4 linked regions of the Tamandua tetradactyla genome follow. The protein of the gene in region 2 interacts with the protein of the main gene of each other region in a pairwise test. Links are inferred from orthologs where the notes say so. Each region holds a gene or a part of one and is shown on either strand. Other genes may lie near its edges. The genes, in order: SF3B4, BAG3, ENTREP1 and HSPB1.

What was found.
Region 1: the proteins of BAG3 (region 2) and SF3B4 interact in binary tests that used the Homo sapiens proteins (3 or more experiments, as listed by UniProt). The two-hybrid records come from large-scale screens. The link is inferred for Tamandua tetradactyla from reciprocal best matches to the Homo sapiens genes BAG3 and SF3B4.
Region 3: the proteins of BAG3 (region 2) and ENTREP1 interact in a two-hybrid assay, tested with the Homo sapiens proteins (2 studies listed by BioGRID and IntAct). The link is inferred for Tamandua tetradactyla from reciprocal best matches to the Homo sapiens genes BAG3 and ENTREP1.
Region 4: the proteins of BAG3 (region 2) and HSPB1 interact in binary tests that used the Homo sapiens proteins (3 or more experiments, as listed by UniProt). The link is inferred for Tamandua tetradactyla from reciprocal best matches to the Homo sapiens genes BAG3 and HSPB1.

The regions. Positions count from the first base shown.
Region 1 is NC_135330.1:5,899,220-5,906,502, reverse strand, and holds the start of SF3B4 (splicing factor 3B subunit 4), read right to left. Parts: upstream 3,006-7,283; 5' UTR 2,916-3,005; coding exon 2,882-2,915; intron 2,873-2,881; exon of another isoform or gene 2,569-2,872; intron 2,415-2,568; coding exon 2,286-2,414; intron 2,053-2,285; coding exon 1,510-2,052; intron 970-1,509; coding exon 763-969; intron 1-762. Other genes in the region: MTMR11 (myotubularin-related protein 11), read right to left, coding at 4,232-4,378, 4,682-4,975, 5,460-5,642, 5,919-6,092, 6,388-6,554, 7,088-7,158. UniProt on the Homo sapiens protein: Component of the 17S U2 SnRNP complex of the spliceosome, a large ribonucleoprotein complex that removes introns from transcribed pre-mRNAs.
Region 2 is NC_135339.1:82,090,672-82,098,458, reverse strand, and holds the start of BAG3 (BAG family molecular chaperone regulator 3), read right to left. Parts: upstream 3,012-7,787; 5' UTR 2,976-3,011; coding exon 2,790-2,975; intron 2,617-2,789; exon of another isoform or gene 2,576-2,616; intron 2,542-2,575; exon of another isoform or gene 2,045-2,541; coding exon of another isoform or gene 2,042-2,044; intron 1-2,041. UniProt on the Homo sapiens protein: Co-chaperone and adapter protein that connects different classes of molecular chaperones including heat shock proteins 70 (HSP70s), e.g. HSPA1A/HSP70 or HSPA8/HSC70, and small heat shock proteins (sHSPs), e.g. HSPB8.
Region 3 is NC_135328.1:99,190,842-99,198,809, reverse strand, and holds the start of ENTREP1 (endosomal transmembrane epsin interactor 1), read right to left. Parts: upstream 3,006-7,968; coding exon 2,589-3,005; intron 1-2,588. UniProt on the Homo sapiens protein: Functions as an activator of the E3 ubiquitin protein ligase ITCH in the ubiquitination of the CXCL12-activated CXCR4 receptor. Thereby, triggers CXCR4 endocytosis and desensitization, negatively regulating the CXCL12/CXCR4 signaling pathway.
Region 4 is NC_135349.1:10,412,022-10,418,654, forward strand, and holds HSPB1 (heat shock protein beta-1), read right to left. Parts: upstream 2,180-6,633; 5' UTR 1,998-2,179; coding exon 1,622-1,997; intron 988-1,621; coding exon 924-987; intron 813-923; coding exon 638-812; 3' UTR 508-637; downstream 1-507. UniProt on the Homo sapiens protein: Small heat shock protein which functions as a molecular chaperone probably maintaining denatured proteins in a folding-competent state. Plays a role in stress resistance and actin organization.

The sequences.
Region 1 (7,283 bases), on a different chromosome or scaffold from region 2:
GGTATGAAATAATGAGGGCCTGGACTAGATTACTGGCAGTGGGGGTAGATGCCAGAGATATTAACAAGACTTGATATTAAGAGCAGAGTGATAGGAAATAGGCAAACATGACTCCCAGGTTTCTGAATTAAACATCTGAAAACAAATCATGCTAGAGGAAGAGTAGGTTTGAAGGGGAGGTGGAGAAAATAAGCTCAGTTTTCATCATGTTTGGGTGGAGGAGCCCAAGGGATAGAAGAGTAGAGCTGTTCAGGAAGCAGCAAGAAGATCAGGGGCTGCAGTGTGTCAACAACCATGGAATACAGATGAAGATCTAGGAGGCATCGGTGAGTAAGTAATCGAAACTATGGAAATGTGGAGAAAAAGAAAACCAAGGATAAAAACCTAGGTACATGCAAAGAAAAAGGAGCCTATTTAAAGTGGCTGAGATTGAGGAGTCAGACAGACAGATAGAAAATCCAGAAAAACAGAAGTCAAAAGTGACAAGAATTTCAAACAGGAGGACATGGCCAATTTCAAATACAGCAGAGGTCAAGTCAGATAAGGAGCAGAAAAGTCGCCAAGATTTGGTAATTTTAGGATGGTAGTTGTTAAGGCAAACAGAATGAAGTTTTTATAAAATAAAAGACAAGGAGTGATGTTTTTATAAAATAAAAGACAAGGAGTGCTCTGAGGGACAGAGGGCAGTTACAAGAGTGGTGACAGAGAAATAGCACACCTCTGCCAAGATCATCCCTCCCTTTCCCAGCAGAGAATACCTACCTGGATGGGGCATCCCACCTGGCGGGAATGGGTGGGGATGTGAGTGTCCATGGCCAGGATGCCCAGCCCCTGGGGTTCCTGCTGATGGAGGGCCATGTCCTCCAGCTCCAGGAGGCATAGGTGGTGGGGGCATGGCTGGCGGTATTCCGGGTGGAAGGGCTCCAGGAGGTGGTACTGGGGGTGGGAAGGAGCCAGGAGGAGGCATGCCTGTAAAGGAAATGGAAAAAAAAAAAAGAGTTAATGGTAGTAGGGTAAAAATGGTAGTAGGGAGAGAATGCCCTAAGCTGGCCTCTCTAGGCACATTTACTGCTTTTCCTCTCTACCCAGCTCTCTAAAGTCAGACGGAGCATTAGATTCAAACAACTTCAACCTTCTAGAGGAATCCAGCAATGAAAGTTGTAAAGAAATTCCTCACCACACCCATCACCCCCAATTCCCTTCTAATCACCCACTGACTCACCGTCTCCCTTTCTCCAATTCTTTTCCCTTGTGCCCCACACCTCACCAAACATATTTTCAATGAAAAACTTTACCTAGTGAATTGCCCAACACAGTGAACCCTAAGTCAAACTACAGATTTTAGTAAATAATACAATTATAAAAATGAGCTTTCATCAATTGTAACAAATGTACCATACCAAGGCATGGTGTTAATAATAGGGGAATTTTATGGGAATCCTGTATTTAATGCTTGATTATTTTATAAACCTACAATTATTCCTAATTTAAAAACAAAAAAAACTTTACCTGGTGGAGGAAGCCCAGACCCCAATGATGATACCACAGGATTGGGGGCAGAGGGTGGAGGGGGTGCATCTGCAAACAGCTGGTGAGGGCGGTCAGCCTGGGATAGTGGGTTCTGGGCTGCCAGAAGTCGTTCAGCTGCTGAGCCATGGCGTTCACCCTTAGAGTCCTTCTTGAAAGCATAGGACACAGTGATAGGGCGGTTACAGAGGTACTGCCCATTCATGGCCTCAATTGCAGCATCCGAAGCATCAAATGAAGCAAAATTAATAAAGGCATAACCCTTGGAGTTGCCTGTATCAGGGTCCCTCATGATCTTGGGGGTTTGCAAGATAACCCCAAAGGCGCTGAACGTATCATAAAGGAGCTTCTCATCAATCTCTGGGTCCAGGTTCCCAATGAAAATGTTGGCTCCTACATCCAGGTTTTTATTGTGAGCTGATGCCTTGTTGACCCGTATTGGCTTTCCATAGAGTTTGATCATGTTCATGATCTTAATAGCATAGTCAGCATCTTCCTCACTCAAGAATTCCACAAAGCCATAGCCTGAGGAGTTTAAAAGAAGAGAGGTTAACTACTGAAGAGAAGAGATTCAAAATGAGATGTAACTCACCCCACCCCAAGGCACAAAGAACAAAAAAGAAAATAAAAATCTCACTTCAATGAAAAGCTTCCAGGAACAAAAAGGAAAAGGAATCTTCAGGCTGTTCATCCCAAAACAGTGTTTATAGTGTTGCCAGGGGCGGTCTGTTCCCAGCATCTTTTTCCTTGTAACTCACCTTGGTGCTGGCCAGTGACTCTATCCTTTGGCATATGGGTGTTGACCACTGGCCCTGCCTGGAGAAACAGCTCCCATAGCAGCGGTTCGCTAACCTTCTCATCCAGGCCCCCCACGTACACAGTGGCATCTGGAGATTAGGGTGGGGGCGTGAGAATGACAGGAAATGGGGTGACAGGAACATGCGATAGAATCAAGGCAGAGGGATTGGGAATGGGGTTGGGGGATAGGAGCAAAAAGGCAACAGAAGGAAAAAGAAAAATCATGTTAGAGTTAGATTAAACCTTAAACCTTCTTCTTCCCAGGACTGAGAGAATCTTCTGAAATCAAACTTGTGTTCTGCTGAAAATTCTACGTGTACGTGTGCTGTTTCTTAGATGCAAACAAAGTCAGCAGCGGAATAGACGGACATACAAGGCTTCGTGCCTACCGGCCCCAAGCGGCACCCGGCCGACCCCCCGCCCCCCAGCAGGCCTGGCGTTCGGCCCCGCGCCCTCCGGGGGTAACAAATCATCCGCCCCGGCGGAACCCCTGCTGGCCCACGTCGGGGCTATCCAGCCCCGCTCGCTCCATTTCGGGATCGTCCCCTCCAGTCACCCTGGTTCCGCTCAGAAATAGGCCCGGCCGCCATGGCGAAGGCGCTCCTGCTGTCTCCAAACACTGGCCCCGCCCTTTGACCCCCACCACTTCCACTTCCGGGGCGGAGGCGGACGTGATGCGAGGCGGCGGGCGGGGCCACAGCGGAGGGGCCGGAAGCGGCCGCGGCCATCTTAGGAGCCGCTGAGAGTTGTGGTCTCGCTCGTGTTCTCTGTCGTGCGCCAGGTGCCGCTGCGAGGCGCTGCGAGCGTCGGTTCCCGGATGACCAAAACCGGGATGTCCAGACCCAGTTGAGGTTGTGCCAGGCGTTAAAGGGTTAAACTGTTCCCTGAAAATGTAAATACGAAATCTAAAGAAACAAGCCTTTTCATATATGTTGGGGCCAGATCCGTTCCCCAGAAGAGGGTGTGTTGCGGAACCCCCACCAACCCAAGGACGCGAAGGCAACCTTCGCACAGTCCCGGCTTGGGCTTGAAGTATTTCGTTTTCCCTCAGAGGAGGGGACTGCAAAATTCTGAGGTGGGAGTGTCGTTCTTGGCCAACCTGAGGCTCAGTGATGGGGCGTGACGAAGCCCGGGCCCCAGTAACAGCATCTTTATTAGTTCCAGGCTCTAGCTCCACCTGCCCCTAAGGCACGGAGAAGAAAACCATTTTCCTCAGTAGCATAGGAATTCTGCAGAGCCTCACCTGATCCGGTTCTCTTTTTCCTTAGCGATAATATGGTGAGTCCCTTCCTCCCCCGAGTCACACCCACCCTCCACCCACCACTGTTTGCTACCTGTTCAAACAAAACAATTCCAGCAATGTGTATAAATACGGTGCTTTAATGAATTCCCTAAATAGAAATGTCACTACAAATATAAACAGTTCGAGGTGGCAGGGTATCTCCCATTCCCATGGAAAACTGTAAAAAAAAAAAAAAAAAGAAATAGTAATTGGAATTAAAGAGGAAGCAAGAGGGGGTAGCAATGAGATCTCTAGGCCATCTTGTTGGGACTGAGTAGCATCTCTGATCTGTCAGTTTAAGGGCTGGCTATCCCAGAGGGGTAGACTGGCCTTGAAAACAGAAATCACCTTCTGTATTGCTTTGATAGTTTTTGTTTTTACTTTTCAGTTTCTCAAATGACAAGAAATAAAAACTAAGTCTTTAGGAATCAAACAGGGCAGAATAAGAGTTGGAGAAGGCTAGCACCACCCACCTGCAATAAAAACTTGACACTACTGGCTTTTTAAAGGGCTGGAGTGTGGAAACTGAAGCCCAAAATCAGATAAGACAAACTGAGGGATTAGGCAGAACCCTTCCCTCATCCTGGACCTCGCTGTGTCCTACCTGTGAGAGAGTCAGCAATTTCAATGGGATTGGGTGAGAATGGAATTTGGTTCTTTTTTCTTGGAGTGATCCTCAGGAGATATTCTTGGTGTCCACTTTTTTAATAGCTCCTGAAGATGAGATAGCTCATCCTGGAGGCCACAGACTGTGGGGGCTGAGAGGCCAACCTGGGGAGAGGGCAAAGGGACAGAGAGAAATATTGCAGCTCTACACACTCTGTTTCTAAGACCTGTCCGCTTCTGCTATCTTTAATTCTCTTTTCTCTGCCAACAGAGCCCTAAGGCTCTATTTTATCTAAGCCACAGCAGTGTTCCCACACCCTACACTCCCAGACCTGCCCAGTTTGATACCAGCAGGAACGGTACTTCACTTTCCACTCCACCCCAGCTCTTTGCCTTTCCAGCTCCTGTTCATCTAGTCCCGTAGTCAAGCCCTTTCTCCCACTCCCAATTGCTATCTTCTTTTCTCACCTGGATCTCAGGCCGTCCCCTCAGGTAGCAGCGTCTCCATAGCCTGATCTGGGGTCCCAGATATCCAGGGCGCAGCAGCCCAGGGGGCAAAGGGCAAGCCCCCCAATGTGAGGGGAGACCCCACTCCTGGTCTGCTAGGCTTTCAGAAGAGATAGCAGGTCGAGGGAGCCAACGAGAAGAGACTGCCAGCAGGAAAGGACTGTCCCGCCAAGGACAGAGCTGATTCAGGGGTGTCAGGGCCCCTCTAGAGAAAAGCCATACAGAACTTGGAGGTCCAGGAACCATGAAACTTGACTACAGGGGAAAGGGAAAACAATTGGTAACCTAGAAACCAAATGATCCAGTTTCTATAGGTTCAGTTTCTATGGCCCCTTCCTGACTCAGTTTCCCCAAACTGAGTCAGGAAGAGGTGTTGAGCTGCCCCTCTCACTGCACTAGCGATTGAAACTACAAATCGTCCCCTGAGAACTCTATTTACTCTCCTCATTAAGCTTCAAACTAGGCCTCAGAGATGACTGAAGTTGATTTTTAGAGAAACTTGTAAAATTTGTGGATAAGAGGAAGATTAAATCAAAGATGAGGACAAAGATAATAAGGCTGTCCTCTATGATATTTTAGAGTTTATGTCTTCCTGGGAACAGTCAGGGGCCATAAATGACAGCTGTAGAGGAGGAGTGGGATAACTTCCTCAGGGGAACTCAGTGAATCTTCTCACTTCCTTACCTATTAGGATGAGTCTGGGAAAGTCAAAGGAATTCAGGAAATTTAGATGACTCACCTGCTGCCTGGGGAGCCAGGAATCTGGGTGGTACTCTGGGTCATAGCAAGGATTTTGGAATTGCAGTATTTGTTTATTGCTGTAGCGTAAATCCCAGTCCCAGACAGACAGCTGTGAGTTAATAGAGTTCCCAGCTGGGGGCTGGGAGTATCCTGGGGTGTAGACTTGTGTATAGGAGTTGAACTGGACAGGGGAAGTTTGAAAAAAAAAAAAAAAAGAAAAGGATGATTAAGCAAAAAAATATATAACTCTCCCAAATCTAGAGAGAAATCATGAAACCCAACTCTTATGCCAGGAATCAGATGCAGGGCATAAATCCAGTCTGTTAAGTGAACATCACCCTCCCCTTCCCCACCGACAGACCTCACTTCTCTTGTTATAAAATAACTAAGGCTCAACTTCAGAGAGTAATTCTCAATGGGGTAAAAAAATGACAAGTCAAAAATGTCAGTCACTTACCTGTCCACCCTGCTTTCCACGTTCCCAGGGAGTATCTCTCAGGAAAGTCAGGGTGTCAGGAACCCTGACACTGTCATGAAGAGCAAGAAGGAAAAACTCAGAGAATTCAAACTCAGCTGGGAACTGCTGGAGGAGCTGCCAGACACAATCAAGGAAGAGGAGAAACACTGGGGCCTGAGAAGAGAGAAATTGAGAGTGTGGAAGGAATAATCGGACCTAAAGAGGCAAGATCGCAAAATGATGGAGGATGAGGACACAGGGAACAAGGGGCACTAAGAAGGTCAGGGAATGGAAATCGGAATTGAGGGTAGTAGGGGATTGTGGAGCCTCAGTCATCTGGGTCTCCCTCCTGCCTGAGCTTAATCTTAGAACCTTTGTGATCTGATTTTCCTCCAATGGATTATAATTTTCTCATCCCCTTACTTCTTTAATAGTACCCCCAAATGAACCCCCCCCCCCAAATCCTCACCTCCTCACTGGCCCCAGTTTTCCCAAGCCGTGTCAGGAAGGGGTGTCCAGCTGCCACCCATTCTCGTTGCACTAGTGATTGGAAGCCAAGCAGTGTTCGAGCTTCAGGGACTGAAAGCAGCTGGACGAGTGAAGAGAGGAGGCCATTGAAATCACGATCACCGCGCTCTGGGTGATAAAAAAGGGAGAAGGGGCAAAGAAGCAGGACCAAGAAACTAGGGCAGGAGAGAATGAGAAGAGGAAACATGGCAAGGAGAAATGAGAGGCACAGAGGTGAAAAGTTGTGGGTAAGCAGGATTGAGAGGGCACATAGAAGAAGTGAAAAGAAAATGAAAATAAAGACCTTGAATAACTCACTTCATAGACTCCACCCCATTAGAAAAATCCAGCTTCACAAGCTGGAAGCAGAATCACAGTTCTTTAACTTCCACATTGCCCTTCCCACCCTAACCATCCACTGATAAAAGGAGGGAGCGGAGGGGCCAGGAATCCTAGTGTTAGGGAACACAGCTATAGTGGGAGGGTGGAGGTAGCACTGAAGGGTGAGAGAACTCATAGGTACTTCACAGTAACTCCAAAGGAGAAAGCTTACACTAGAAGGAGACAAGGGAGCCTTCTGGGTCTCCTTCCCTGGGTAGAATCCAATTAGGTGGGCACAGGAAAAAGGAAAAGTGTGGCGTGGGATGACCCAAGGAACTCACCCTGAAGTACAACAGAGCGAACCCTGGCGGTCACTAAGACTGAGATGTCACTTGCCTTTCGGAGACAAGACCTGGAGTGGCAGGGGATGAAAGGAAGGAAGAATGAAAATCCTGAGGGAAGGGAGTAGAGATAGATCATGGGGTGGGATAGAGGCAGACTCCAAGATCCTGCCCCTTCTCCTTCTAAGGAGCAGTA
Region 2 (7,787 bases):
GGACAATGCCACATCTTGTCTGATCACTTCCCTATGCCCAGCACAGCCACCCTGCCAGACTCTGTGGGGTGCTGTCTTCCTTCCCTCACCACGCCTCCTGCATACTCACACCCACCAAAGCCTTACACCAGGCACTGGGCGAGTTTCACCAAGAAAAGCGGCGCCAAGCAAAGCTCTGCCGGGGAGATATTAAGCAGGTACTGCTTGGGAAGGAGCCCAGGGTCTACAGACAGGGGCACAGTAAGCAGCAGCTTCTTCTACAAAACGGGGATCACAGTCCTTCAGGGGCTCCCTGTTGCCAGGGTGGTAAACAGAAACCTGAGGGAGGCATTTTAAATTCAGAGATTCTTGAGCCCCACCCTGAACAATTCAGATTAAACATGTTGGAGGGATGAGATGGGGGGAGCAGGGTGGGGCTGATGACGCAGCAGGCAATCTGTGTTCTTAAAAGGCTCCCCCAGACACAGCCAGGCTTGGAAATCAGTGCTCACGACCTCTAAGATTTGGAGATTCGCAGCACTGGTCCTTGAGAGAGGAGGGTCTCTTTCTCCTGCCAGAGGTTTGTGCACGATACTCCAAGATACCCAACCTGTTTTATTCAGGGAGGAGACCAGGAAAGAGTGGTTTCCTGATTCCTAAGCAAATGCCAACCTCTCTGCCAGGAAAGGGGTCTGGATTGATAGGAACTTGTCAGGCAGTTCGTGGGAAGCCCAAGCGTGTAGAAAACTGAAATCCAGAAAACTGCAGGTGGGGAGGTGCCACAGCTTACAATGGAGGTGGATAAAACTCAACACCTTTGTCTCGAACCTTCCCGGCTCTGCAATGAAGGGTAAAACAGACCTCCACTGCCTCCTCTGAAAAACGGGGGTGAAAGAATCACTCTAACCACTTCAGGGGAAGGTGGTACAGTCAGCTGTGAGAAGATGGAGTATAAATGACTAAATAAAACACTAAGTTCTAGTCTTTTCCTTCCATGAAAGCCACCTCTTTACCAACACGGTTAGACCCTAAACATCCTGAAGCTGAGTCCTTGCAGAAAAAGTACTTCCCAAATTGCAGATGCTCAAGGAATAGCTTCTGATTGACAACACTTCCTCTTAAAGGTGAGGATGCTTGGAATGTCCTCTTAGCTGGGGCCCTTTGCTCACTGTGCATTTTACATTGTATTTAACCTTTCCCAGGATCAGACTTCTGATTTAGTAGCTCTTACTTTCTATATGTATTTTTTAAAGTAATTATTGTAATTCGGTCTGTTTCTTCTCCTCAAGAAGTTTTATGAAACTACAGCCTAACCCATCCACCCGGCGGGTACGGGAAGCAAAGCAGCAAGCAATCCAACTCCCTGAGAAAGTTCCATGTTGAAAACAAAGTGCTGGCAATTTGGGTCTCATACTGAACTCCCAGTGTTTGTTTAAACCTGATCTTCACTGAAAACAAAGGGTGCCAGCAGCTTCTAACAAGCCCATCTCTACAGGGAGAACACACAAAAAGGTGCATATAATTATGTCCAACCCAGCTAATTACACCTTCTAGATCTAATTTTCAGAAATAAAGATGCAATTAACTCCTTGTAAATGTAAACTGCTGAGTGTAAGATACATCACTTTTGGACACGAGAGTTTTACCAATATTTTAAAGGAAAAAGGTGCAGAACATCATAAAGGTCTTTCTTCTAAAATAAAGCCTTGCAAAGCATATTTAACTGTGACTTTTTAAATCTTCAAAATAATTTACCAGTTTCTACTGCTTTTATTTTGCACAGACAATATTAAGTTACCCTTTAAGTACACTATTTTTTGCAAACGTTCTATTTTGAAAAATTTTAATTTGTAGAAAATTGTTTCAATACAACTAATTATAATTTTTTAAATTACCAAATGTATAAAAACTGTCATGCTTCTAAGGGTTAAGAAGTAAATACTCTTACATGTATTTAGATGAAGCATATTTCTGCTGTATATAAGTATTATTACTTAGTTATTTGTGTATGGGAAACAAATCCTAAATATTTTAATGCCATTACAAGGAAGGGAACACATACCATTAAAACAAACAAAAATCATCATTCTCTTTCTCTCCAGTTGAGGCGAAGTCTTAAGGGAAGGGCCAACTGCCTGGAAGAACAGCATCTTGTTTTTAACAAATCACACTGAAACTCAATGTTACTCAAAAAAATCCTCAAACAACGATACAACAGTAATTTTAAAAAGAAAAAAAAAGAGACTACTTATATCAGCGTCCTGAGTCACTCTGTCCGCGAACCGGGAGAGTAAGGTCAAAATAACTGTCAACCAAGTTGTCCAGAAGTAGAGGGGGAAATTCGGAAAAGCCCATCCCCCAGGCACCAGGGGTCGGCGGATGAGAGAACCTTCCAGTAACGACTATCTCAGGACGCGGAGCAGAGCCGGCGGCAGGGCCGGGCCCAGGCCTCCCGCTGACCAGGCCCGCCGCCCCTTCCGAGCCCGGGAACTTGGGGACAGCTCTTGACGCCCATGCCTCCACCCCGTCCCGGGTCGCACTTCCCCGTCCCCCTCAATCCCCTCGCAAAATCAAACGCGGCGCGGTGAGGACTGACCTCTCCGGGGCACTCCGTCACCCCCACGCCTCTCAAGGCCTGGCCAAGCGCAGCAGGGCGAGCTCGGGGTGGGATGCCCCGACCCCCGGTGCAGGGACCTGGGAGCTGGGGCCAGCCCCGCGCTCGCCCAACCCAGTCCAGCCGCCGCCGGGCCGGGCCTGTTCCCCCGTCGAGGTGGGGCCGCCGGCCGGGGCGTGGCGCGGGTCCGGCTCACCTTGGGGCCCTCGGGGGGCACGCGCGGGTCGTTCCACGTCGTGGTGCGGCTGTTGTGGTCCACGAAGAAGGGCCAGCCGGTCTGCGGGTCGATCTTGATCTCCCAGCCCGGAGGCAGCGGGTCGCGGTCGCCGGCGCTGTTGCCGGACGCCATCTGCACCATGGGCGAGTGGGTGGCTGCGCTCATGCTGGGCGCGGGGTTGGCTCGGAGTGGCGGCCGCCGGAGCGCGGAGTGCGGGGTCCCCGAGGGCTGGGGCGCGGGATCCCGGGTCGCGGGGTGCCGGCCTCCTGGGCGCCGAGTCGCTGGGCCGCCGCTGCGAGGACCTCGCCGCCGCCGGAGTGTGAGCCTTGCGCGCCGCCGACGTGTCCGGGAAGCCGGCGCCGGGCACCTTTATGAATTAAAGGAGGGGGTGACGTGGCCTGAGAGGGGTGGAAGGGTCTGGAAATAGCTTCCTCACTGCCAAAGGGGAAGGAGGAGATAAAGGGACGTAGCAACTGGCCGGGTAGAAACTTCTGGTCCCATCCAGAGAACTTGGCGGCGCCCGCGGGTTGGATGCGGAGCTCCGCCCTGAGTCATCGGCTCTAATCATGGCGCGGCGTGGCGCGGCGGGGCGGGGCCTCGGGGCGGGGCCTGGGGGGGGGCCGGCCGCCCCTCCTCCCACCCGGAGCCCTCCTTCCTCCTCTTTTCCCTCCTTGGGGCTGCCCGGCAGAGGTCGCCCGGGGGTGAGCGACGACGCCTTCGCGACATTCGCCTGCTGGTGGTCAGCTGGGTCCGCGGGCCCCGCCCGGGGGCGTCCTCCGGTGTCCCCAGGACCGGTTTCGGTTTTCAGACTGCTTTGCGCCGCGTGGGTGTTCCTCGCAGGGGTGGGAGTCCGCGCTGCGTGGCGGCTGCCCCACCTTCGTATAGAAACGAAGGCATTGTGAACCTTCTGGGTGGTTTTTAGCTACAGTTCTCTCACTCCCCCCCGCTGCCCCCCGCCCCAATACACTGATATTAGGAAAATCATGTGCTTTCCTGGGGCCCGGGGACTGATAGGGAGGAGTTCTGGAAGACTGCTCTGACACCATCAACAAAGTCAGGCAGAAAATGTAAGTGCCATGGAAACTCACCTGCCTTCTTTTTTGAAACCTGAAGAAGGAAAAACCATGGTTTTATTCTCTTTGAATCTTATGTCTCAAATACAGAAACTCTCATTGCAGTGAACAATTCTAAAGAAAAGTCACATATAAAAAATTGTGGTAACATGTACCCAACATTTTCCACTTTAACCGCTTTCAAGTATACAATACAGTGGTGTTAATTACATTCACAATGTTGTGCTACCATCACTACTGTCCCTTGCCAAAATCTTGACATCACCCTAACAGGAGCTGTACCCAAGCCTTAATTACCTATTCCCCACCCCTCCACCATCCTGGTCCCTCTAATTTATTATTTTTTTAAAGTAGAGTTTGGTTTTTGCTACCAGATTGAAAGATAAAATTGCAAATTGTGACCTCTATTTGGGAAGTAGGGGCCAAATCTTTTTTACCAGTAAAAAGATTTGTTCGGTTGATTAAAAGGTGGTTGCATTTGTAACCTCAACTAAGCACCCTGAGTCACCTGGGAGGTCTTTGCCCAGAAAAGAGAATGTTTGGGAGGTTCCATTTTATATCTTTGGGCATGCAGACTCATTCACTGGGAAGCTTTTTTGGACTAATGTTAGGCCCAATTTTCCAACTCAGATTCAGAGAATATCCTGGAACTCTAAGAGACCCCCTTGCCTCTCCCTATGCTTAGCTCACTCCTTCTAGAGCTAGGAAGGCCTATCAATCATTTCCAGTGGAATGATCACCACTTACAAAGGTATACTTAGCAGCTTTGAAGTCCCAAAATTCAATTTTGTGAAAACATGCAGGTGATTTAGACTACAAGGACTGTGTCGGCTCACCAAACATACAAGAGACTGATGTATAAACCCGAATGCCATGCACTGATTTACCATGAGAAATATTACTGTTGAAGGCCCTGGACCCTCATGTCACTCGTGGTGTCTAATGTGTCTTCATATCTGAAGCCCTGAGCACAAGGCTGGGTCCAGAATCCATATTCAGTAAATGTTGATGTTCATTGAAGAGGAATCCAAAGTGAGTTTTTATTCCTATTTCCTTTGCTCAATTTACTTTCCACTACAGTGTGAGTTTAAGTACTGACGGCATTCTTTGCTGATCTTTTTTTTCCTTTCCTTTTCTTCTTTTGCTAGACAGAAGCAGGGAGGAAGCAAGTTTCTCTGGAACTAACCTAATTGCTTCTGAGGGTTGTGTGCCACGAGGGACTTATGGATTTGTCTAAAACAGAGCCCTGAGTCTTAAAAGCTGGTTAGAAGTTTCTTCAGGCTATGCTTTATTACAGATTTCTTGTAGAATTTCTCACTGGTAAGAGTAACCTCTGTCTTAATCCAGAAGCCTGTGACATAGCCTCAATGGGAGGCCTCAGATACACAGACCAGAAAAAAGAATAAAACTTGGGTATTTCTTCACCGAGTTCCAGACAGTGAGTCTTGACTTTTGCTCAGATTTTCCCATCAGCTTTAGCCACTGCTCCAGAGTTCAGAAAGATGTAACCAGATGAGTTACATGGGGAGACTTGGTTAGAGGGTTTCTTGCCACCAAATGAGACAGAGTCCTGCTTTCCATCCTGTCTCTCCTGGAAGAACTTACTGTATTGCTTATTGACCACAATATACTTGGTAAGTTATTTTACAGAGAGAAAGGGAACACGGTATTGTTTGTTTTATGGAATAATCTGAGGGATTACATATCAAATCAACTAACTCCAAAGCTTGAGTAACTAGAATTTCTTCTATTTTCGTGGGGGAAAAAACCCCAAAAAACAAAAACAAAAAACACGCTGATATTGCCAGTCTAAGGGTATTGCCTTTCCCAGAATCACTCTGTGTAGTTCTCTGTCGTATGCCTGTTAAAAAGTCAGGAATTGTTTTCTTTTTCTGTGTCTTCTGTTGTACTGTGAGCTCCTTGAGAGCAGGAACTGGCTTTTATTCTTCTTGGTATCATCAGGACCTAGTGCCTGGCATATCAAAGTTGCTTAATAAATGCTTAAGTGAATGAGATGATATCAGTTAATGATTCCAAAAGTCCATCCAGCATGCCTTGGGGTAGCCCTAATTTAGCTTAGTCCTTTATAGCTATAAAGTTCCACAAGACAAGTAAATATTCACAATGATGAATGCAAAGTACCTTCACATCCATCTAAGAAAGGTAAAATTGAATACAAAATAGTTGGGTTATTTTACAAAATTTGGTAATTCAGATAACTAACAAACCAGATTACTTTTATTGAATACATACCATGGTCTCTTCCCTTTAGGGAATGTATAGTCTACTTTGTGTGTTTATGTTATTTATTACATTATATAGTATCCATTATATACTATGTGTATTAGTCAGGGTTCTCTTGGGAAACAGAACCAACAGGAGATATCTGTAAATATGAGATTTTACAAAGTATCTCACACAACTGTGGGGATGCAGGAATCCAAATTCCATAGGGCAGGTTGCAAACTGGCAATTCTGATGAAGGTTTTCAATGAATTCTCCAGGAGAGGCTGGCTGGCTGAGGTAGAGATAAAAGTTCTCTCTTCTGACTGCTGAAGTCTCACCTCTCCCTTAATAGCCCCCCAACTGACTGAATTAAATCCAGCTGATTGGATTCTCCAATTGGGGAAGACACCCCCCTTAGTTGATCAAAGATGTAATCAGCCATAGGTGCAATCAACTGACTGATAATTTCAGTCCACAAAATATCCTTGTAGTAATAGTTAGGCCAGTGCTTGCTTGACCAGACAACTGGGCGTCATCATCTGGCCAACTTGACAAATAATCCTAACCATCACACTATGTTATATATATATATATTTAAATCAAAGTAGCAATTTCTCCAGTCTTAGGGTACACATTCCCCAAGATTTCTGAAGTTTATTTTCCCAGCCTGAGCTTCACCCTGGATTCCTTCTTCTCTCCTACTATCCAATCATCACCAAGTCTGTAGACTCCACCTCTTAAATGTTCCTTGACTCTGTCAATTCTCCTCTATCTTCATTGCCACCAGCCTGGCCCAGTTCACCCTCATCTCTCATCTGGATTCCAGCAGCAGCCTCCTAATGGGTCTCCAGCCTCAAGTCTTGTTCATCTCCCCTCCATGACCCACAAGGAAGCCACAGTGACCTTTTTCAAGCGCAAAATGGGTGGTGTCCTTTCTCTGAGTAGATCCTTTGATGGCTCCTGGTTGCATTCTGTATACCAAAGTCCAAACTCCTTGGCCTGGTGTACCCAGGTCCTTCCCCCCTCCACCCCCATCCCCAGTGTTCACTATGTACCCACCCTGCTGAATTAAATCATGCACACCCTGCGCTTTCTTTTGCCTCCACACACGCTTCTTCCTCCACCTGGGTACCTTCTCTCCCACCCCCATCTACCTCCCACTCCCTTGGCCTGACTCCTCTTGGTCTTCAAGTCTTTGGCATCCCTTCCCTCATCCTAGTCTGCATCTTGTGTCCTTTCTAAGTACTCTCGTGCAAATCTTGTGTCACCCTTTCAGCTACATGCATGGCAGTTGTTTGTCTGATTGTCCGATTTGTCATGGATTAATTCTCTTGAGGTCAGGGGCAGACCCTTCATCTCCACTGTTTCTCTACCATCTATTATGGGGGGCAAATAATAGTAAAAACAACAATGAAAATTGTAATGGCTATGATTTACTGAGTGTGCTTACTGTATTCTGGGTACTCTGTTAAAGGTTTTATGTCAATGATCTCATTTAATCTTTGGGAGGAGGCTGTGATGCAAGTCTTATTCCCACAGTTGCAAAGTGCTGCAGGAAGACTACGCGCCCTTGTCAGTCCCCTTTGGGGATTGGCTCAGTTGAAGAAAACTGCCTTCCCCAAGCAGTCTGGAAGCCTCCCAATGGCTTGTGTACAGAGGGTTATGTATAAAGGTCCAG
Region 3 (7,968 bases), on a different chromosome or scaffold from region 2:
GGCAAAATGTTAAATTAAGTTGGTCAATCTGGGTATCTGGGCAGGGGGGGAGGTATGCTAGAGTTCTCTGTATAGGTTTTGTATTATTCATGCAACTGTCCTGTATGTTTGAAATTATTTCAAGATAAAAAGTTAAAAAAAAAAAGCACACATTGAATTATTCGCAGATGAAATGATGTGATGTCTGTTTGCTTCAAAATAATATAGGAATTTAATCTGACAAATGGACTAAGAAGCATGAAGGATCTAATTCCCATGTGTCTTGGAATGCCCATCTTTCTGGAGTTTATCAGAACACTTACAGAGGTCAATAGCAGGACCCAGGAAGGGAGATGAAATAATTGTGGAAGCTAGGTAAAGGGTATATGAGAGTTCATTGTACAGTTTTTGTGCAAATTTAAATTCTGTTCCATAATACAGAATTTTTTTAAAAAATCAACCTCTGACATATATAAACTCAAAACCTATGCTACTGGTGAGATATATATATATATATATATATATATATTTTTTTTTTTTTTTTACTGAAACACCAAGAGAATCCTTGTGCATACAGCCATCCTCTTGAAATTGTATTTAATTGTTTTGTAGACACAGTATCTATTGGCTCTGCTACCTCTTTGCAAATTTTGAGGTTAACCTCAGAAACAACACAAAAAAAAACAAGAATAACCAAATTACCAGACTGCCTATAGACCTGCGGAGAGGGGGTAGGTTTTAAGAAAGAACTGCTAAGAATAATAGATCTTGTCCATTCCAAATCACTGCTCTTTCCTTACTCTGGTTGGTCCAGTCCTGCTAAGTATTACCTGAGTGGGAATCAGGACCCACCCAGCTAGCAAACCCTGGTGGGCCTTCATCTTTCGGCAGCTGGTGACCTTTTTTATATTTTATCAAATCCAGCTGTGGCTTGAGTGACATGTAAGTACATTTGCCTCTGAAATAATTCACGATAGAAAGCTATTTGGGGGTTTTAGTTTTAGAAGAGGGGGAATCATTTTTGATAATTCCAAATAGATTATGATTTTACAAAGAGCCGATTCCTAAAAATACATGCAAGATTCATTACCCGCACATGGTACTCAGAGAAATGAAATGTGCCTACCATTTGCCTGGATTTAGTCTGGGAAGTATAATGGATCTAAGTCCTACTTTCAGAGAACAATAGCAAAACCCCGGGGCAGCGCCATGAGGGTGGAGTGTGTTTCCCTGATGCTCAAACTGTGAACTTCACTCATGACAGGGAAGACTGTACCATAAATACAGCCTCATGTACCAAAAGATTATCCAGCATCAAAGTATTTCAAAAAGAGAGCAAATTGGTACTGGTTTAAGTAATAAATGTCAGGTTAGACTAGAGGAACCTAATGTTCTTACTCAATTACTTTTGGTTCATATTAGTTCTTCCTCTAGTATTAAAATGTGGTCGTGAACCTGGGTTTATGTGGATCCTCAAAAGGATAGTTTTTACATATTGTGAATATGCATTCATTACAGATCTTATACAGATCATAGTAAAAACTATGGCCATTGCCAGACTCTTAGATTTAGTTAATTCATAGAAAGGTCATTTACTTTAAATATTTATCTCTCACAATCCTGCCACCAAGACTTGCTTCCAAGTCTCTCAACCTGGGGCAAACCTCAAGGGTTTGGACATCTGGGAGTTGTGAAGTTATCGGGAAGCTAGGATGAGTGGCCATCGAGAGTCCGTCCACAAGATAGAATCTGCAGCAGCTTTTCTCTGAAGGCGGGGTACCCTTTTTTCCAGGATCTGCCTTCCCCACTAGAGGAGGGAGGAGGCAGAGTTAGGTCCGGAACTAGACATGTCCAGCTAGCTGCCCTGCGCTCCTGGAGCTTTGACAAGCTCACAGATAATGGCAGGTTCGGGGTTTCCGAGAATTAAAACTCTGCGCAGCAGACTGCGTGGCTCCAAGAACGGAGTGAGGGGCTTAAGGCCCTGCTTTAATGATCAGGTACTGGCGCGCTTTTACCTACACCCTTTCATTACCTTCTGAATCGTCCCCAAATGCAGTCGAGCCATACTACACCAGATACATTTCAGATATAAGTGGGTCTCAATGAGAAATAAAGCAAGGTATGCGCTCCCATTCATCTGTCAGTTCATCCAACCACAAGTGCACCTACTACGTGCCAGGCACTGTTGAAACATCCGCGAACAAAATACACCAAAATCCCACCCTCCCAACGGGGATGCTGTAAATGCAGTAAATACTCAATCGTTGGAGGCGTTTCCTGCCTGTCTCCCACCCCCATTCTTCCAATCTCCCAAAGTACTAGAGGTCTTTCCTTTATTCTATTAGACTGCCAGTGGCAATAAAACCCTGTAGCCTGCGAGGATCAGAAATACTCAGGTGCAATCTTGTTTATCCCTGAAGTCGGCTATTTCTCCTGCCTCTGTGACTCCTAAAACTTTAGCTGGATTGAAGGGTTGTGCTCCCCAACTGCAGCCCGGGGGGGGGGGGGGCTGCGGGGGGATGGGGGGAGGTCAACCAAGGGGCCGTGTAGGGGACCTGCCAGAGCTCCCTGGGCCCTGCAGAAATGAGCCCCGAGCGCGCGGCACTCACCGAGGAGCCAGCCCAGAACGGACACGAGTTCTTCACCTGCGGGCTGCTGCTCAGCGACAGCGCCCCGAAGCTGAGCGCCACCATGCAGCAGCCCAGGATCAGCTGCAGCAGCCCGAGCGACAGCAGCGGGCGAGCGGGCAGAAGCGCCGAGCCCCGCGCTGCGGCGGCGGCGGCGGCAGACCGGCGGGTGGACAGCGCAGGCGGCGCAGTTAGGACCCCGGTGGCGGCGGCCGCAGCCGCAGCACCACGAGGCCGCGCCGGGGGCTGCAGCACCGCCCGGGGCCAGCGCGGCCGCAGCGGGGGTAGCGGAGGCTCCTGGGCGGCGGCCGCCGCGGCGCCTGGGCCCCCAGCCTGAGGCCCGCCCGAGAGCCCGGCCACCGGGCAGCAGGAGCCCGGGAGCACAACAGGCAGGGACATGGACGGGCTGGAAAGGGAGCAGCAGGCGCCGGCAGGGAGGGGACGCGGAGCCGAGCCGCGGATGCGGCGCACCGGGCGCCGCTGACGAGCTCCGAGGCCGAGCGGGAGGGAAGGAAACGCGTACAGTCCAACCACTTGCTGCTGCCGCCGCCGCCACCGCCGCTGTCCCGGCTCCCGCCGGCCGCACCCACCTGCCGCCCGGCGGGCCCGCCTCCGGCCGGCCCCAGGCACACCCTCGCTCTCACCCACACACATCCACACGCGCCCTACGCTCGCGCCGCGCGGCGGGCAAGTGAGCAGCCGCCTTCGTCTGATCGCCCAAGCCGGGCCTGCACCCTGGGGTCCAGAAAGGGTGCCCTGCCCCAGATTTTTCTTTTTTCTTTTTTTTTTTTTTTAAGTTAAGTCCCTCCAGTTAGGAGGTTCCCCGCCGCCAGGGTGCGTCGGAGCTGACGGCCAACTGTGTAAGGGTCTGTCCGGCGCCCTCAGAGCTGGGGCTAGAGAGAAATGCTGTGGACCCTCGACCCGCTTCCTGCCCAGCCAAGAGAGGGTTCAACTCCCGCAACCTTTAATGCGACGGGAGCCGGACTATAAACTCCCCCCACCCCCGCCCTCCCCGGGAGTAGGGACGGCAGGAGGAGGGGCTATAGGACGACTTCAAGAGAACAGATCTAAATCGCAGGGCTTCGGGAAGGATGAGGCTGCGAAAAGTCACCGCTCGGTGGCGGGGGTGGCCGGGCAGCGGGTCGCTGGGCCTCCTACACCGCCTCCGCTGGACCTTCTGATATTCCCTGCGGCGGAGCTGCCGGGACGGCAGAAGGAGGAGGACGTGGTTTTTCTGGTGTCAGGTTGGAGCGCGCGCCTGAAAAGACGAGATTACCTTGGAATTATCCCAAAATCCAGAAAGAAAGATCCCAGGGCGGACTGGAGCGCGTGGCAAGGGTTACACTTTCCGTCGGCCTCGCCTTGACTCATGAGCTATATTAGGTATCACCTGATAGAACACAGAATCCCAGACTTCCGAGGACATAAATAAAATTGTAATCAGCGCCCTTAACTACTTTTGGCAATTTAGGAGACATCTTTAGAGGTTAAAAAATTTTTTTTTGCCTTTTCAAAATGATTTCCCCTGATCTTGAATACTCTTTCCCTGGAAGAATTCTAATGCTTGAAAGCGTCCTACCTAAAATGATTGTAATGGATTTTTCCAGATAAGATTAGAGCAGTGTCACTTTGCAGCTAAGCCAGTCTCAGTCTAGGCAGCTCATCTTATCAGTAGGGTGGGGGTGGGGGTATTTACCATCTACTGCCTAATAAACCAAAGAAATACATATCCGTTTTTATGCTCTGTTTGTAAAGGCTGTATTTATTTTTATCATCACTTCAACACACATGTGCTGTATTGCCGATATGCAATGTGTTTGCATACAGTTTTTGAATTATTAAAGTACCTGTGATTAATAGCCCCTGGAGCTCTTTTACAAACTGCTCTTCAAATTCTGAAGGAAAGGGGGGCCATCTCTTAAAATAAATGTTTAAGTTTGTTGTTTCATGCACTTAAAAAAGTCTTACAGTGTATGTTCTTAAATTGCAAGTCATTAAATAAAAACTTCTTGTATGCTGAGGTTATATCCTTTATTTCATACGTAAGCTTAAAGGTATTTAATTTTTAAGATTTAATACACCACGCAATACAATCATTCTGATTAACTTTTGAAAAATTTTCTCAGCATCACAAATCTATTCTACTGAACACGCCTTGACATCTGAAATGTACTTTTAAAAATGTATTATGGAAACATCCCAAGGGTCCATCAACAGATCAATGGATAAACTAAATGTGGTCTATACATACAATGGAATATTATTTCAGCCATAAAAAGGAATAAAGTTCTGATAAATGCTACATGTCTGAACCTTGAAAACACGATGCTAAGTGAAATAAGCCAGACACAAAAGTACAAATATTATTTGATTCCACTTATATGACATATCTAGAATAGGCACGTGCATAAACACAGAAAGTAGATTAGAGGCTACTAGGGGCCTGAGGAGCAGGGGGAATGGAGATTTATTGCTTTATGGGTACAGAATTATGATTTAGGTTGATGAAAAAGTTTTGGTAATGGATGGTGATGATGGCCATAAACACTGTGAATGTAATTAATACCACCAAATTGTATGGCAAATTTTATGATATATGTATAGTGACTGGAAAGGTGAGTTTCGGGGGTTCTGGTAAAGATGTTTCTTGTTCTGGTGCTAATTATATGACTGAAGTTAACTGTGTGAAAATTCATGGAATCTAAGTACTTTACTTGTAAAAATTTTATATGTGTATTTCCCTATACAGAAACAAATGATAGTGGAGGTAATTGAAATCCATAGACAGTTTCACTCAATAGCTGTACTTATTTTTTGTTGCACTGTACTGTAGATTTTCTACATTTATGTCCATGAGTTTCTTTTTCTGGTTATCATAAACATGAGATGACATTGCCCCAATCTTTAGGATTATGCCAAATAACACCTTTAATATTAGGATTTGGGTTTTGGAGGCTCGATTCTTTGCATTCTCAAACACTCACTTACAGTAAGTCCCTAGTTATACCTGTATAAGGCGTCTGCAACTAAGCTTTTATGGAATGATTCAAAGCCATTTCAGAATGGCTTAAAAAAATAAAATGAGGAAAAGCCTATGGAAAATTTGACCCAGACACTTCATTGAGGTGAAAGTTCAAGGAAAACAGTAATTATGGAAGACACAGCTGCCAGTTTTCCTCAAGATCAAGGCTAAATTCCACTCAGGCTCTCTATACTTCCCACAAAATCTACCCCTCCCTGTACCTCCTTTTCCAATCACTGCACTCAAAGTCTTTACCACACAGGAGCTCCTTTGCTCAGGTTTCCCTGGACACCTTTTAAAAATTCCTCACTTCCTCCCACCTTTTCTCAAAAGACCAAACTGTTCAGCTAATTCAAGGAGGCTGTGGGAGTGGGCAGCTGTGAAGAAACTTCATCCTCAGAACAAATTTTACAGAAAGAGAAGAGTTTCCTTGAGTTAAGGCCTACTGGGCATTAGGAATTCTCACTTAGTAGGGTGGACTGGAGCAGTTTCTCAAAGCATGGTCCACAGACCACAGAACTATGCAGGGAGCGTGGTAAAATGCATGTTCACAGGTCTCTCCCCACACCCACAGCTGTGGAATTTGACTCTCTGGAGAGGAGGCCTGAGAACCTCCATTTTAACAGATTCAAAGAAACAATAGTGCATAACACTATTCAATCTCCAGAATTTTTATCTAGGAATTTTCATATGGGAGGGGACTAAGGGCAAAAATTTTTGTTGGAAGGGGAAGACATAGGGGGATTTAGCTGGAAAGCAAATTTAGATGTACATTTACTGGGATGGAGTTTTGCTGGTCTCCAGTGATAACTCAGAAGACATAAAAAAACAAATCTGAACTAGGTGAAGAGAGACTTTCAAAAGCATGATAGTAAAGGGGGAAAAGGGTTGTTGCAATAGAAGGAGGGGACTATTGAAATAGGGAGAACACTCTGACCATAAGGTTAGCAAGCTTCTCCAGAGATGAACAAAGAGGGTTTTTCTTTTATAGAGAGGAAAGAGCCAGGTGTAGGGAAGCAGGATGATACAGTCACATGATCTAAGGAAAGGCTTTTTATGTTGCCTATTTTCTGGGAGGCACCCTTACACTTCAGGGATCTGGAGGTAAAAGAGAAGCTTAACCGAAGTCTGGCTAACGAGCATCTTGTTCCCAGTGATCAGTGGGAACCAATGGTTCAACTATTCATTTATAAGGCAAAGAATGGAAATTTGGAGGGTCTGTGTCTGGCCTTCTTATAGGTAAACAAGGAGAAACCTGTGAGTCTTTTGGAAGTCATACGGGAAAGAGTGGTTCTTTGCAGTAAGCCATTTTCCTGGATACAAAGGGAGGGGAGATTTCTTAACACTGTCACTAGCCAGTTACTGCTGCCCAGGTGATTAGTGAGACCACTGCTTTCTAATGGAGAGGAACGATTGCTGGGTTCTAGCCTCAACTCAACTCATGACCCTGAACCAGTCACTAGCTTCTCTGGCCTCAACTGCCTCATCTGTACAATGACAGCTTGTGTTACTTCAGCTGGGTCAGTCTGGACCAGCTGAATATTTGGAGTCCTGAAGGCCTGACATTTTGAATGTCAGCCATCCTCTCCATCATAGTATGTTCTCAGATTACCAGCAAGAGAACAGGGATTTAGAAAAGCTGGTGAATCACAGTGTGGAATAAATTTACAGAGCCAAAATATCAAGGACAAAACCCCAAACTCACTGTTGTAAACTTTAAGGTTGCAAGTTCCATGATCTCACGTTTTCTCACGATGTACTATGTTGATGAGAGATTGGGGTGAGTAGGGAATTGGAGGATGGGTAAGTGGTGATTTCAATTATTACTGTTTACACTTTTCAGGGAAAGAACTGTGTAGCTTTAAAAAAAAAAACAACTAAGAGAACAAAAGTCAGAATCTAGACTATAGGTTACCAGGGGATGGGGTAGGAATAGGAAATAGGGTGGTAAGGCTTAAAATGTGGACTTTCTATTTGGGATGATGGAAAAGTTTTGGTAATGGATGGTGATGATGGTAGCACAACACTGTGAGCATAATTAACAGCACTGAAATATGTATCTGAATGTGATTAAAAAGGGAAATGTTAGGTTGTATTTATGGTACTAGAATTTTAAAAAAATCCATGGAACTGCACAACACAACCATGTTAAACCATGGACTACAGTTAATATTTATAAAAATATGCTTTCATTAATTATAACACATGAACCACAGTAATGCAGGGTGTTAGAAGATGGGAATCCCTTTTTATGCATGATTGTTCTATAAACCCACACACTAGGAGGGAGGGAGGGAAGGAGGAAGGCACACTGAGCAGAGATAGACAAATCAGTTACTA
Region 4 (6,633 bases), on a different chromosome or scaffold from region 2:
TGCAGGGCACCCTGGGGCGCTGAGAACCCAGGCCCCGTTCTGTACAGGTGGGTCCTGGGGGAGAGGGGACTAGGCTATGCCCCTCAGCAAGGGACCTGGAGTTGCCAGCCTGCACCCCACCTCCACCCAGCCTTCTGGGTGGTCCTGCTTCTCTGCAAGGACAGTGAAGTCAGAAAGGACTGTGCGCTCCCAGAAAGCTGGTCTCCCCAGGCCCTGCTGTCCCCGTTCACCTGTCCCCAGGCTAGGTGTACCAGAGTGGGCAAGGCCGAGTCAGGTGCCCCTAGTTCTGCACTTGGCCCTTGAGTTAATCACTTGGTTACAATCATTTGCTTCTCTTAATCACTCTCTGTGCATGAGCAAGTGGCACTTGCCCCAAGGGCTCCACAACGCCGAGTCTGAGGCAGTGGTGGGCAGTTCTCCCAACTTTCTTTTACTTTTTTTTAAAAAAAAGCCAGTCAAATTCAGCAGTGAGGAGCTGTATACCAACTTTAGTGACACTAATGTTAATAAATTCTGATAATCCCAACTTTTATTTTAAACAGAAAGAAAACGTATCAAAAGAGCATCCAGTGGGCGGGCAGGGACAGCTGGGAAGGACTCTGGGTGGGCAGGGCCAAGACCTCTACTTGGCTCCAGGCTACTCCGACTTCCCGGCCTCTGGGCCGCCGAGCTGGGCATGCGCCTCGAAGGTGACAGGAATGGTGATCTCGGCAGACTGGATGGCCGGCTTGGGCACGGGGGCCTCCACGGTGAGCGTACCCTCAGGGGACAGGGAGGAGGAGACCTGGGTAGGGTCCACACCTGGGGGCAGCCTGGGCACGCACAGGAAGAAGGCAAGAGTTACACATCCACCCACACTGCACGCCCTCTCAGGTCCCCCTCCCTGGGGACCTCTTCCCTTCCCGTCTGGCCCCCAAACTTACGTGTACTTTCTGGTGAAGCACCGCGAAATGTAGCCATGCTCATCCTGCCTCTCTTCGTGCTTGCCTGTGGGGAGGTGGTGGTCAGAGGCTGCTGGGGGTGGGGGGGGGGGGCTGTCTCTCGCACCCCCCATCGTCCCCAGGGCAGGCTGTCATCTGCTCTCTAGAGGGCCCCCGAGGCCAGAGCTGATTGACTGAAGGGGTTGGACAGCCCAATTCACCCGGGCCTTAGAAACTTCTGGAACATTCGTTTCATGCCTTTTGAAGCGGTGGGGCCACGCCCCCTGCACTGGCCGGGTTAGGGACAGGAACAGAGCGGCTCACACCCAATGGGTGGGCGCAGGAAGATCTGATTACTTGCGGGGTGAGATGGAGCGTCTCCCCAGGAAAAGGGCGTTTCTACCCCTAACAGAGCTGAAAAAGCCCTTAGGGCTCCCCGTCCCAGAACCCTACAGGAGGTTCCAGGCCTGGGGGCTGGGCCAACGCCCAAGGCGGCCGCGGCAGGCTGGGACCAACTCCCAGGGCTCCTGCCTCCCGGCCCTCGGCCACTTCGGAACTCCCCAGGCCCCTCCAGTCACTTTCCCGGCACCCACCCCCACCCCCACCCCGGCCCAGTTCTCCTTTCCGGGGTCGACCGGCCAGAGGCCCCGCGCTCGGCCCCCTAACTTGGCCGCCCTCCGGGGGCAGTGGGGGGTGCTCACCGGTGATCTCCACCACGCCGTCCTTGGTCTTGACCGTCAGCTCCTCGGGGGCGAAGTGGTTGACGTCCAGGGACACCCGCCAGCGGTCGGCCGTGTGCCGGATCTCCGAGACGCCGCTGCTGAGCTGCCGGCTGAGCGCGCGGCTGTAGGCGGGCGCGGCCACCGCCGCCGCGGGGCCCTCGACCGCCGGCCCCGGCAGCGGCCGCACGTAGCCCGGCCAGCCGCTGTGGCCGAACCACTGCGACCACTCCTCGGGCAGCCGGGGCAGCCCGAAGGCCTGGTCGAAGAGGCGGCTGTGGGGCGGGTACCAGTCGCGGAACGGGTCCCAGCTGGGGCTGCTGCGCAGGAGCGAGAAGGGCACGCGGCGCTCGGTCATGCTGGCTCGGCGCGTCGGGCTGCGGCTGCGAGAAGTGCGGGGCCGCGGGGTGAGCCGGGCTTTTATGGCTCTCGGGCCGGGTATTTTTAGCAGGCGGTGTCTCGGGTCTCTATTAAAGGCAAGGACTGGCTGGGGGCGGCCCCGCCCCCTGCATTCCTACCGTCCGGGGGCTGCGGGGGCGGGACGAGGAAGGTCCTGCCCACATCTGGAAACTTCTCTCGGTAAAGAAAACAAATGACCTGAGCGCCCAGGCTGGCGCACTGCCCGCCTCCGGACAACCGATCGCAGGCCCGGGAGGTAAAGCCCTGGACGGAGCTAGCTGAGCGCGGTCAGGCCCCTTGTCTCGGACCACACAGCCAGCGAGTGGCAGAACCAGCATTAGAGCCACGGGCTGTGTGTGAAATGTCTTAAGAAGCACTCGGGATAGCCTTTAGGAGTCTGCCTGCGTTCCCACTGTGGTTTTACCATTCACTGATTCGACCTGTGCACGTCAGACTCGTTGTGCCTCAGTTTCCCCATCTGGAAAATAGAAATTAATGATAACAATAATGCTGACGTCATTGGACTGGTGTGAGGAAAGATTTTAGCTCGGGGCAGGAGGTAATAATTACTCATTATTATTGTTTACCGGGAATGGAAGAAAAGGAGGAGGCTGGAGGAGAGTGTGTGGGAAACTCTCTTTCCTCCACGCCCCAGCCCTGTTGCAGAGGAAGTGGCCTGTGCAGGTTTGGCCATTCTCCCGCTGCCCCCAGCCCCCAGATCTGGCCCAGATCAGAAACACTGGGTCTGATGACAGGAGGGGAGAGAGGGGGAAGGTCACTGCCAAATCTTCCCCTTGTGTCTCTCTCTCCTTGAAGAGCACTGGACCGGCAACCTGAAGGGCGGCAGTCCTGAATCTAGTCGGACCTTTGCTGCTGATATACTGTGTCGTTTTGGGCAAGGCCTCTCCTTTCTCTGGCCTCAGTTTCCCCTTTTGCATATTATACGCTCCAAGTGCCTCTTGCTTCTGATTCCCACAGTGCAAAGGGATGGGGAACCCGAGGCAGTGTGGTTGCTCAAACTTGCTGGGCATCCGAGGCCCAGCCCATAACCCCATCCCTTCTAGCTGATCCTTTGGCATCCCGACACCCCCAAATCCTACTTCTGGAGGGGGCTGCTCATAGGCTCCTGCCATACCCTTGACATCCTCCTTCTCCTGCCTACATAGGCGTGACCCCATTCCAGCCTTCCGTCTCCCTGACTTAAGTCCAGTTATCCCCACTTTTTAAATGAGGAAACCAAGGGCTCTTTCTTATCTCTGTAGGACTCCTGCTTGGGGTCCCCCAATTCCTCTCTTTCCCACACCCCCTCTGTTAGCTGCCCCTGTCCTGGGGCTGAGACTCTCCTCCTGCCAGCTCTGCAGGGGACTACTAAGCCCTTGGCCTGCACAGGCCCAGACTCAGGGGACAGCCTGGGGTGGGAGCCAGACTCCCAGCCATTCTCCTTGATGGGCTGGGGGGGCATTAAGTCTCATGCCCTCTCTGAGTCTCAGTTTCCCTTTTGAGAGAGGACGCATAGGTGCTTCTCCTTCTTATCCATCTGCTCCCCAGCAGAGAGGAGCTGGGGTTGAGTCACAAAACTGAGGTCACCTCTGGAAAGGCCTTTGATCTCCTAGTGGTCTGGGGGGTCAAGGGTGGGAGGCAGGCAGGACCCCGTTCTCTGTCCCATCTCCCTTTTTGGATCATGTCATGACTCCAGTGGGTCTCAGTAGGGAGCCACAGGCCACCCCCAAGGGTCTCAGCTTCAGGAAGTCCCAGGCCTTGGCTCTTTGGCACTCCCAGCCCCACTCATCCCCAGCTCTATAAAATCGGGCTGAGATCAGTAGCCAAGGAGGGCCCTCACCCGCCCCTGCCTGCCCAGCTTCGCTCAGACTGGAGTCCAGGGCACCCCACCCTATATAATCATGGGTGCTTTCAAGTGTGGCCCTGCCAGGCCCAGCCACGCTCTGGGTGGGGGCTGCCTACCTGGCTGCCAGCGTTTTGTAGACACAAGCCCTTTTCATAGCTCCCTTCATCTTGCTGAAACCAGGGCAGATGTGCTGCCAGTCATAAGGGAGGGGACATGGATGGCTTTGAGCCACGTGGGAGTGGGTGAGTGGGGTGTGGGGTGTAAGAAACTGGGTTTTGGGGTCAGACAGGACTGGCTTGGTGACCTCTGCAAGCTCACATGTCCCCATCTGCAAAATGTACCCATTTTGCAGGGCATCGGTGGGTCTCGAATGCATGATGTCCACTGTCCCCAAGTGATGTCCACTGTCCCCAAGAAATACCAGCAGTGCTGAGCTTCTTGTCTCCCTCGTACCCAGGGCTCTTTCTTATCTCTGTGGGACTCCTGGCTTGGGGTCCCCCAGTTCCTCTTTTTCCCACACTCCCTCTGTTAGCTGCCCCTGTCCTGGGGCTGAGACTCTCCTCCTGCCAGCTCTGCATTTTCCAGTGTTACTTAGGAAAGAGGGTCTCTAACGTTGGATAGTAACAGAATAAGTTGCATGTGCTTTACAGCTTCTGAGTGTCTTAGCAGTCCCAGATGAGAAAACCGAAGGTCAGAATTGTTCCCATACCCTGCCTCACAAAGTTGGTAATGGGTGGGGAGAGACTGGAACTCAGGCCTCTTGATTCCCTGTCCAGCAGGGGAGAAACTTCCCAGGCAGCCCAGGGAGAGCTGTGGGCTTCCAGGGTGCAGAGGAGGTGGGCACCCCCTGTTCCCTGTTTGGCCAGGTTCTCTGTGGTCCTTTCCAGCTCAGGCCAGGAGCTCTGACCACGAGACTTCTCCAGGAGGCTGTACTCTGTGCCCAGGCATAGGGCTTAGCAGGCAGCAGGGACTGGATGTCATTCTGCCCTCGTCCACCTACCCAGTAACTCTTTGACAACCTGTGACTCCAGCGTCCTCGGACACTGAGCTGCCAGGGGGAGTTTTCCTGTGAGAAAGAGGACAACTCTATTCCCCAAGGGTTTCCCAGAAGCCACAGGGACAGGTCATAGTTGTCCCCTCATCCCATTACCCCCTGTAGGGTCTGGGGATTCCTGCATTGGAGGTGGCCCCTCCTCTCTTCCCTTCTCCTAAAGTCTGGAACACTCCAAAGCAGCCCCCTCCCCCATGCCCGGCCTCCCCAGCCCCCACCCCCCCACACTGAGGCCTTGGGCATGCTAGCCACACCCTTGGCAGGCTTTTGCTATTGTGGTTGAGCCAGCCCCTCCCTCTCTGGCCCAGCCTCAGAGAAGGTACTAGAATTTTCAGGCAGCTGTCTGATCTCCCTGGAGAGGCCTGACAGCTGATGGATTACGCCAGTCCACTGGGCCTGCTGGGAACTGACAATGCAAGCAGTAGTAATTATAGCATGGTGTGTGTGTTTGTATGGGTCTTTCGAGAAGCGTCTAGACAGTGTGCCTCTGGGAGTCTATTTCCGAAAGCTCATCTCTGCCTGCCCCACCCCATAGGCCTTGGGCTTCTGCTTGCCTTCCCCCAAGGCTGCTGAAGGGACCACAGGGGGCCGGTGGGGAAGACTGGTGCTGCAGCCTCCCACCCCTCCCGCCTGCCGTCAGGCAGAAAGAATCTCTTTAGCTGGGAGGCTGGGGACCTGGGGTGTCTTGGACTCTGACAGCTTGGCCAAGGGCCGGCCCCCTGTGACTCATTTTCTTCATCTGTACAATGAGACCACTGGACTCCTTCCAGAACCATGAATCAACAGTTTTTCCTCCACTCTCCTCCTTCCCCCCATGCCCCCTGAATGACCTGTTCTGCAGTCTGATGCTGCAGTGGTGGGGGGGGGTATATATAGTGAGTGGAGGCACCCCACCCCCCACTCCTGTTGCGCCTGGGTGTGATTTAGGGCTGCTTTCTCTTTAAATCAGAGTAAGATGAGAAAAAAGGGTGGGGGTAGGAATCCTCCCTAAACCTGTAGGAGACTGGGGGTGGGGGTGGGGAGGGGCTGCGGGAGGTGGGGAGGAGATTCCTGTCTTGGGATGGATTTGGGATAAGGGAGAGAAGCCCCCAGCGCCAGAAGTGGGAGACCCTGAGGCTGGGGCACCCCCGGGCTGTGGGCCCCCCGAGAGCCCTCCTCCGGTGGAGGGGAGGCCTGGAGAAGGATGGGACCCCTTTGCCGAGGGCATCCTCAGCTCCAAGAGGGGCAGCAGGTGGCCAGGCGCATCTCAGAGAGGGAGGGGACAGGGGTCACTGGCCCAGAGCTGGGACACCCTAGCTGGGCACGGGCACTTGTGCCTCATTGCCTTGGGTCTGGGGCTGCAGGAAGATGGTTAAGAAGAAAGGGAAAAATTCTGCCAGGCAAAGAGGAAACAGAAAAGCCCTGTCCAGCCTCCTAGCTGCTGCGTATGTTGGGAGGGGAAAGAGGAGGTGCGGGAGGGTCCCCACAGGCCCCCATCTGAGGAGAGAGAGGCCAGGGGAGATGCTGTTACACCCCAAAACCAGAAGGGTGTGTCCAGGGTTCAGGATTCCTTGGTAAGAAAGGCCCATGTCCTAGGGAAGTTCCCCTTCTTTTTTTTTTTTATTGGGGATTAGAAAATTAATTTATTTGATGAAGTTTTCCCCAATCCAAATCATAATTTTAATTTTACATGCATTCCAAAGTGTTGTCTCTCTTTCC